Linked DNA regions of Sus scrofa. Each later gene encodes a partner of the first gene's protein in a complex. Links are inferred from orthologs where the notes say so. Each region holds a gene or a part of one and is shown on either strand. Other genes may lie near its edges. The genes, in order: TMEM231 and TMEM237.

The links.
Region 2: TMEM231 (region 1) and TMEM237 share a complex: the UniProt entries of both Homo sapiens proteins name them as parts of the tectonic-like complex. The link is inferred for Sus scrofa from reciprocal best matches to the Homo sapiens genes TMEM231 and TMEM237.

Annotation. Positions count from the first base shown.
Region 1 is NC_010448.4:12,139,113-12,143,402, reverse strand, and holds the start of TMEM231 (transmembrane protein 231), read right to left. Parts: upstream 3,087-4,290; 5' UTR 2,717-3,086; coding exon 2,216-2,716; intron 1-2,215. UniProt on the Homo sapiens protein: Transmembrane component of the tectonic-like complex, a complex localized at the transition zone of primary cilia and acting as a barrier that prevents diffusion of transmembrane proteins between the cilia and plasma membranes.
Region 2 is NC_010457.5:105,254,916-105,259,038, forward strand, and holds the end of TMEM237 (transmembrane protein 237), read right to left. Parts: intron 3,631-4,123; coding exon 3,509-3,630; intron 1,112-3,508; coding exon 1,044-1,111; 3' UTR 585-1,043; downstream 1-584. UniProt on the Homo sapiens protein: Component of the transition zone in primary cilia. Required for ciliogenesis.

The DNA.
Region 1 (4,290 bases):
GTGGGTTTTCTCAGGGTTACCAGAGAAGCGGTCTCCTGGGCTTAAGTCCTCAGTTTTGTCTACTGAATATAAAACAGAACTCTCAACTTTTAGGTTGAGCAAATTTTTTTTTTTTGTCTTTTCTAGAGCCGCACCTGTGGCATATGGAGGTTCCCAGGCTAGGGGTCCAATGGGAGCTGTAGCTGCCGACCTATGCCAGAGCCACAGCAACGTGGGATCCGAGCCGCGTCTGCAACCTACACCACAGCTCACGGCCACGCCGGATCCTTAACCCACTAAGCAAGGCCAGGGATGGAACCCGAAACCTCACGGTTCCCAGTCAGATTCGTAAACCACTGAGCCACGATGGGAACTCCTCCTTACTGTGTTTTTTATTTGCTTGCGTAGTTTTCTGTGTACTTTTACAATTTCAACATACAGTTTCTATTCCAATTTCTCACAATGTGATGTTTAAAAGTAAAAGCAAATCAAATATCCACCAACAGGAAACTGGTTAAATCCATTACCACTTTCTGTATCGATTACTTTGCAGACCTTAAAAAGAAGTTTGATTAACAAATATTGATACATGGGAAGTTCCTATTGTGGCTCAGTGGTGATGAGCCTGATAGTATCCATGAGGATGTGGGTTTGATTCCTGGCCTCACTCAGTGGGTTAAAGATCCCGAGTTGCCATGAGCTGTGAGGTAGGTCACAGATGTGGCTGATGTGGCTTGGATCCTGCTCTGCTGTGCCACAGGCTGGCAGTTGAAGCTCCAATTCAACCCCCAGCCTGGGAACTTCCATATGTCCCAGGTGTGGTCCAAAAAAAAAAATGAGACATGCAATTCTAGACATACTGAGTCTACCCACATGGAATTAGGTCTAGCAGGGGAGAGATGAGAAATAAATGAATTATACACAAATACTGATATATGTGCCAAACTGGGTCTTTAATTTTATGTCATTATATATACCTGTAACTCTTTAATAATTTACAAGGAGAATTCATAATCATAAAAAAGGTAAGGAAAGTTAAATATTCATAAAAAATCTGAATCCTATTTTGCTTGTGGTTATTCATATGAACAGTCAGATTACTTTTTTTTTCATTTTATTAAGTTGCTGGGAAAAATCTTATTTTTTTTTTTTCAGCTACACCAATTTGGCTGTAGGCCAATCATCTCAGAGGTGTCTAAAGAGATCCAACTTTGAAAGAAGAAAATCCAGAATTTTCCTACTTTCAAAGGAAAATGTCTCCTGAAAATGAGCGTAAAGGGGTGGGTGACTATAAAGGAAGCATTCACTTACCTCGAATCAGACACTAGATTACAGGCAGTAAAAAACTTCGTTTTCACCCCCAGACGGCGGCAGGATGCAGCAGCATCTCAGGAGGCAAGCCCAGGGAGGCTGGACTGGGCCAGCAACAGTCTGGGGAGGTCACTTAACCAATCAGCGCCTCTGCTTCCACATGTCAGTCTGCCTAAAAATACCCGCCCTTTTTGTTGCTACTGCTTGCTGAAGCACAAGCCAGCTGCAAGAACGAGTAATTAAAGAGAGCATTAGACATTCGCGTCATGGCTCAGCGCTTAACAAGTCTGACTAGCATCCGTGAGGACGCAGGTTCAATTCCTGACCTCCCGCACAGGGTTACGGATCCGGGACCTGGCGTTGCCATGAGCTGTGGTGTAGGTCGCAGACGCGTCTCAGATGCCTCTTTGCTCTGGCCCTGGCTTGGGCTGGCGGCTACAGCTCTGATTAGACCCCTAACCTGGGAACCTCCATATGCTGCGGGTGCGGCCCTAAAAAAAAAAAAAAAACAGAAAAACCAAAAAAAAAAAAAAAAAAAAAAAGAGAGAGAGAACGTCAACTGGCTTTCACGACTCAGCAACTTTCGCGACCACGCTTCCATCAGGCCACGCCCACGGAAATGGGGGCCAGAGACAGGCTGTCCGCAGGCTATCAGTCTCTGTGTGGGACACACACCCTGACAGCAGTGACTAATTTTCTCGGGGGTGGTGGACGGCTTGGAGAATTCGAATATTACAAAATATTTACTCCCCAGGAAATTAAATATAAGCTTAGGCCAATGAGCCTGTACACACAACTTCTGTGGATTCGTAACTCCTTCAGACCCAAGCAGGGCCCCCAGGGACAAGGACCCGGACCGCCCAGCTTCCTCCCACGCATGCCCCTATCCCCATCTCCATCCATACACCCGCCCAGAACCACGCACCGAAACGAGCGGGACGCGCAGGTGATCCCCCTGCAGTCGGTTGAAGGCAGGGAACGTGCTCCAGGCCAGGAATCCGCCGTGCGCGTGCTCAGGTCCCAGCAAGGCCACGAGCAGCACTTGGTGCTGGAAGCGTACGGTCGGCTGCTCCTCGTAGCTACTCCGTTTCAGCCAAAACCCTGAGGTAAAGAGGGCAGGAGGCAGAGGGGAAGAGGTTAGGGAGGCCGGCGGGAGCACCGGGGAGAATCCTGTCGCGCACTGGCCTTCAGGCAGGCTCACCGTGGCTCCGGAAGGCCACCAGCAGCGGTGGGATGTACGTGAGGGCGGTGGCCAGCAGCAGGAACAGCGCGGCCTTGGAGCAGAGCCCCGCGCGGTAGCCGCGCTCCACCGGGTGAGAAAAGAGTTCGTGGAGCGCCATGAGCACAGGTCGGAGTCGGGCTGCGCGTCCCGGACCCCTCCGCGGTTCCAGAGACTCGACCAACTTTGGCTTCTCCTGGTTGCCATAGCCTTGGTCTCCACGGCAACCGCAGGCGCGGGGAAAGGAACCAATAGCAAGGAAGCTGGCTTTGGTGGGGGTGGGGCTAACGGGGGGCGGTACCCACTGGTGGATCGTAGTCCTAGCTTTAAGCGTTAGGCGCCCTTTCCTATAAGCTGAGCAGAAATGGAATGTTCCGTGCCCCCAAATCTTAGCATCGCCCTTGTTAACATTTGTGTCAAATTAGATTTTCATAAATATTAAAGTAAATACCTGCATAAGTGTCATCTGTTAATCCCCAATGTGGTTCACTGTACACTGAGTCCAGTAACGGCACACCTTACATTGGAGGAAAACAGTGTGGTCCTGGACCTGGTCACTCCTTTGTATCCAAATGTACCTTTTTTCTTTCTTTCTTTTCACTTTTATTTATTTATTTGTTTGTTTGTTTTTAGGGCCGCATCCGCAGGCATATGGAAGTTCCCGGGCTAGGGGTCAAATAAGAGCTGCAACTGCCGCCTACAGCACAGTTCCAGCAACACAGGTTCTGAGCTGCGTCTGTGACCTACACCACAGGCCATGGCAATGCCAGTTCCTTAACCCACTGAGCGAGGCTAGTGATCCAATCCACATCCTCATGGATGCTAGTCAGGTCCCTTACCACTGAGCCAGGGCAGGAACCCCTGTCTCCAAATTTTCTAATGCTTTCACTAGTCCATAGCAAGACAGACACCGAAACAGGTCACAAAGCACCCTGCTCTTCAAGGGATAAGGATAATTACTATATAGCTCTACTATACTATGTTATAGTTGAGCACAGGCTTGACGACCTGTTTTGGGGAAGCTCTGGCCCTCTGCAAAGTTAACCTTGGTGTGTCACTTCATTAAAAGCTCTCCCTAGTATTTCAAACAAGGCAGAAGGATCTTTTTTTTTTTAAGGGCCATACCCATGGCATATGGAGGTTCCCAGGTTAGGGGTCAAATTGGACCTACAGCTGCCAGCTTATGCCACAGGCATGGCAATGCAGGATCCAAGCCATGTCTGCAACTTACACCATAGGTCATGGCAACACCAGATCCCTAACCCACTGAGGGAGGCCAGGGATCAAATGGATCCTCATGGATACCAGTCTGATTCGTTTCCACTGGACCACAATGGGAACTCCCAGGATTTTTTTTTAACACGTTCAACAGCCAACTTCTTTATCAAAAGGACCCGAAGAATCAAATGTCAGTGCCAAGAGATAGTGTGAGGTTTGTTATCAGAATGGAGTCCAGCAGTAGACGCTCCTATTTCAAAACCAACCTAGAAGTGCTTTTGTCTTCTAGTTTCATTGGGATATAACTGACATACAGCACCATATAAGTTTAAGGTGTACAACATAATGATTTGACTTACATACATCATAAAATGATTACAATAAGTTTAGTGAACCCTTCACCTCATATAGAAAATTAAATAGAAAATATTTTTCCTTATAATAAGATCTCTTAGGATTTATTCTCTTTCTTTCATATGTAACCCAGTGCAGTGTTAATTATATTTATCATGTTGTACCTTATATCCCTAGTACTTATCTTGTAACTGCAAGTTTGTACCTTC
Region 2 (4,123 bases), on another chromosome or scaffold:
TGCTAATCAGGGCAGCCCCAAGTTTTATTGAGGTGCTAGAGAGCCTCTGAGACACCTTTTCCCTCGGTGAGTCCTATCATTGTCTTGGGCTCCAGGTCTCATAGCAGTGAGGTACCAGGAGATACAGCCCTGAAGAGAGCTCTTCCAGGGCAGGACCCACCTGAAGAGTTAGGTGTCCGTGACAGACAAAGATCTCTGACAAAGAGCTTGGGAATAGGCATGGGGGGTTTCTGCTCATCCTCTCTGTCCTGTAAAAAAAGAGGCAGGGGGAAGGGTCTGCACAGGCCAACTGAGTGTTAGCTTAGTAAGCGCATAGGCCTCTCCTTTATTCTCCTGCGTTTGGGGGCCACTCAGCTTCTCTTTTGCTGTATATGCTTTTTAAGGCTCCCTAAATGATTCTGATGGTCAACCAGATATAGGAACCCACTGGTACAGGTCTTAAAGGGAAACGAACATTAACGGTTATAAAACTTTTCAAACAAAAGTTGTATTTCCTTTTTAGCCATGAAGTAAAACACCTTTCAAGCTAAATTACATGATCCTAATTACATGATACACAACCACTGAGCCAGTTTCAAAAAAGACAAATTTCATATTTCAATTTATTCAGTAAGGAGACAACAAAAATAAATAATAAAGGTCTTCCCCCTGTCCTTCCTTATTCCCTAAATTTCTGTTTAAACCTGATAGATATTTTGTAATACTAAAGCTATGGCTTTTTAAAAAGCACCGTACTAGTGCTTTTAAAGATAATGATTATAAATGCAACTAATTTGAGAAAACAGGAAATAAACATTCTCGCCTGCTGATTTCTAGCTCATTACCTCCTTTGTCATTAGGATGATAATGCTACAGACATTAATATTTGAGTATAAGCTGCAGACACAATTGTAACATTTTCCATAATCCTGAGAAAGTGTTCTGTATTATATAATCAAAAAATCGATTCCAAATACATCCATACATATCTTACAAAAATACATTTAAAACAAGAATGGGAAAAATTCTAAATACTGGGTCATTCCTCTGAAGATGAGCTGGCACTATGAAGAGGCTTTGATTCCTTTTTCTTCATCAGGATATTCTTCCACATCAGAGGAGAACATCAGCTCTGGGAGAGAAAATGAACAAATCAGACTCAACACGGTTTGCCAGTACCTCAGAAAGAGTTTTATAGCTTAGTTATAAACAGTCTCTTAAAACATTGACATATTATATGATAATAGAAAGCCCTCATGTTCAAGTAAGAACTCTTACCAGGAAATTTAAGCCGTTCAGAGAATCTGGGATCATTAACCAGCTAAGAGGTCTAATTCTAATAGAGATCATTTTAACCTAAAATGTAGGACGCAGACATAGAGGAGGACCTGGACCTAACACGAGTGCCAGGATATGTGAACATGTTACCTCATTTCATCACTATAACAACCCTAAAAGCGAGTGTTATCATCCTCATTTTATATTTGCTTTTTTTAATCCACATAGAAATGTTATTTGATTCACGTGGCCCTAAAAGAGAATTGCGTTCTGGAAATACTCAGTAAGTAACACACGCTTTGCGATTTAGACTGAATAACTGCGCAAGCCAGGTGGGGGCAGCTTCAATCCCAACCACAGCGCAGAATGTTACTAATTGACATTTCTACATTTAAACTATTACTTAGCATTGATATATAATTCTACATTTAAACTGTTACTTAACACCGACATTAAAATACCAAGAAATATTAAAAAAAAAGGAAATCTTGGGAATCTAATAAAGTCCCCAGATGTAAGCATTAGATGAAAAAAATCTTTGACTAAAAACAATATGGAATAAAAGGAAAACAGCAAAATACCTAAAGCCTAAGAAGATTTTTTTTTTGGTCTTTTTATCTTTTTTAGAACTGCACCTGCAGCATATGGAGGTTCCCAGGCAAGGGGTCCAATTAGAGCTGTAGCCTCCAGTCTATGCCAGAGCCATAGCAACGTGGGATCTGAGCCACATCTGCGACCTACACCACAGCTCACGGCAACGCTGGATCCTTAAACCACTGAGCAAGGCCAGGGATAGAACCCACAACCTCATGGTTCCTAGTTGGATTCGTTAACCACTGAGCCACGATGGGAACTCCAGCCTAAGAAGATTTTTAAAAACACTTTAGTATGTCAAAAGGAATAATGAGTGAAACAACATAAGAAAAGGTACATGAACGAATATATACAAAAAGATTATATTTTTTTGTTCTGGTTTTTACAAATGGAAATATTGGAAAGATTCTCAATTCCAAGACTTCTGAAACAAAGGCTGTAATCAGTTGATCAGACTGCAGTTAAATGCTCAGAATGTTAAACAAATTAAGAATAAAATAATAACCGAAGTCCAGAAAATATCAAAGCGATTCAAAGGTAAAACTGTGGACCATCTGCCCAGGAAATACAACCTTACAATACCAGTACTACACGGTTCCTAAAACAGTGCTGAAGGACTAGCAGTTTGCAATGTGATTCTTCCTCTTCAGGTGTTCCAAGAAGGGCCTGGGGACCAGAGATTAGTAAATCTCGCTTCACCCTGGGTGCACTAAATGACAATGACTGGTGAAGAATTTGTGAAGGCGGAGGAGGAGGTGAGAACAAATTCACTTGAATACATGTCTAACAGAGGCTAAGAGATGATGGATGACTTATGCCAAATTGAGATACTTTGATCAAAAAGAGGCCAAGAGGAGTTCCCGTCGTGGCTCAGTGGCTGGCAAATCCAACTAGGAACCGTGAGGTTGCAGGTTCGATCTCTGGCCTTGCTCTGTGGGTTAAAGATTCCGTGTTGCCATGGGATGTGGTGTAGGTCGCAGACGTGGCTCAGATCCCGCGTTGCTGTGGCTCTGGCGTAGGCCCACGGCCATAGCTCCGATTGGACCCCTAGCCTAGGAACCTCCCTATGCCGTGGGAGCGGCCCTAGGAAAGGCCAAAAGACAAAAAAAAAAAAAAGAGAGAGAGAGAGAGAGGAAGGGAAGTTAAGATTTGGTATAAAATACCTGAAGGGTTCCAAAAGAAGAAATAAATTCAAAATATGTGGACAGACTACAGAAGCCCCCTGTTAAGACTCTGGGACCCAGAGTTCCAGGCATGGCTCAGTGGTTAACGAATCAGACTAGGAACCATGAGGTTGTGGGTTTGATCCATGGCCTTGCTCAGTGGGTTAAGGATCCCGCGTTGCTGTGCCTGTGGCATAGGCCAGCAGCTACCATCTCCGATTGGATCCCTTGCCTGGGAACCTCCATATGCCGTGGATGCGGCCCTAGAAAAGGCCAAAAAAAAAAAAAAAAAAAAAAAAAGAATAAGACTCTGGGAATCCAGCTCTCCTACATACTCCACCCTGCTTCTCTCAGCACTCTGTTTCACCACTCTATTATTACTCTTCTTGTGTTATTTTAAGTGATTGGACTATTACAAGCTACATTCATTACAAAAGAGATTTACAAAGTCATTACAGACGATTTCATGATATTCTATTTTTTTTCTTGAATACCTTCACTAAGATCCATGCCAGGTCTATAAGACAAAAACAGCCAAGATAATCCCACCAGAAGGGCCACCACCAGATTCACCACAATCCATGGCTGGAGAACCTGCTCCTCAATTCCTTCTGCCCTAAAAGGACAGAAATACTCATTAGAAATGTCTTCATTTTGGTCGATATATCCAAATATATCCATTTTATAAACTTAAAAAAAAATTAGCACTCCTTACCTAGAGGAAAAACAGGCACAAAATAATATGGAATTTCCCTGTTAGATGCATCATATGTATCAGGAGAACAAAGGTTCAAAGGTTGCAGAACTATCACAGTGCTACTGTTCAATCTTTCTTTACCTAATGCCCCCTAGCCACTCTCTCAAAAAAGAGTGCCCCTCTTCCCAGTGAGGGAAGACAGCCCGCCCCCTCATGGTTGGCCATGAACCTGAGGAGGCGGACTCACCTGGGTCTGCTCTCCTTCTATACCCTTGGTTTTCTGAGAACTCTCTCCCAGGTGCCCACTCCATCTCTATGCTGGGGTATCAGGCTCCCCCATCACGTAATGGTTTATTTTTAAATCGTAACTTAGGAGATTTAAAATAGATTTGTAAAAAGAAGACATTTCTTT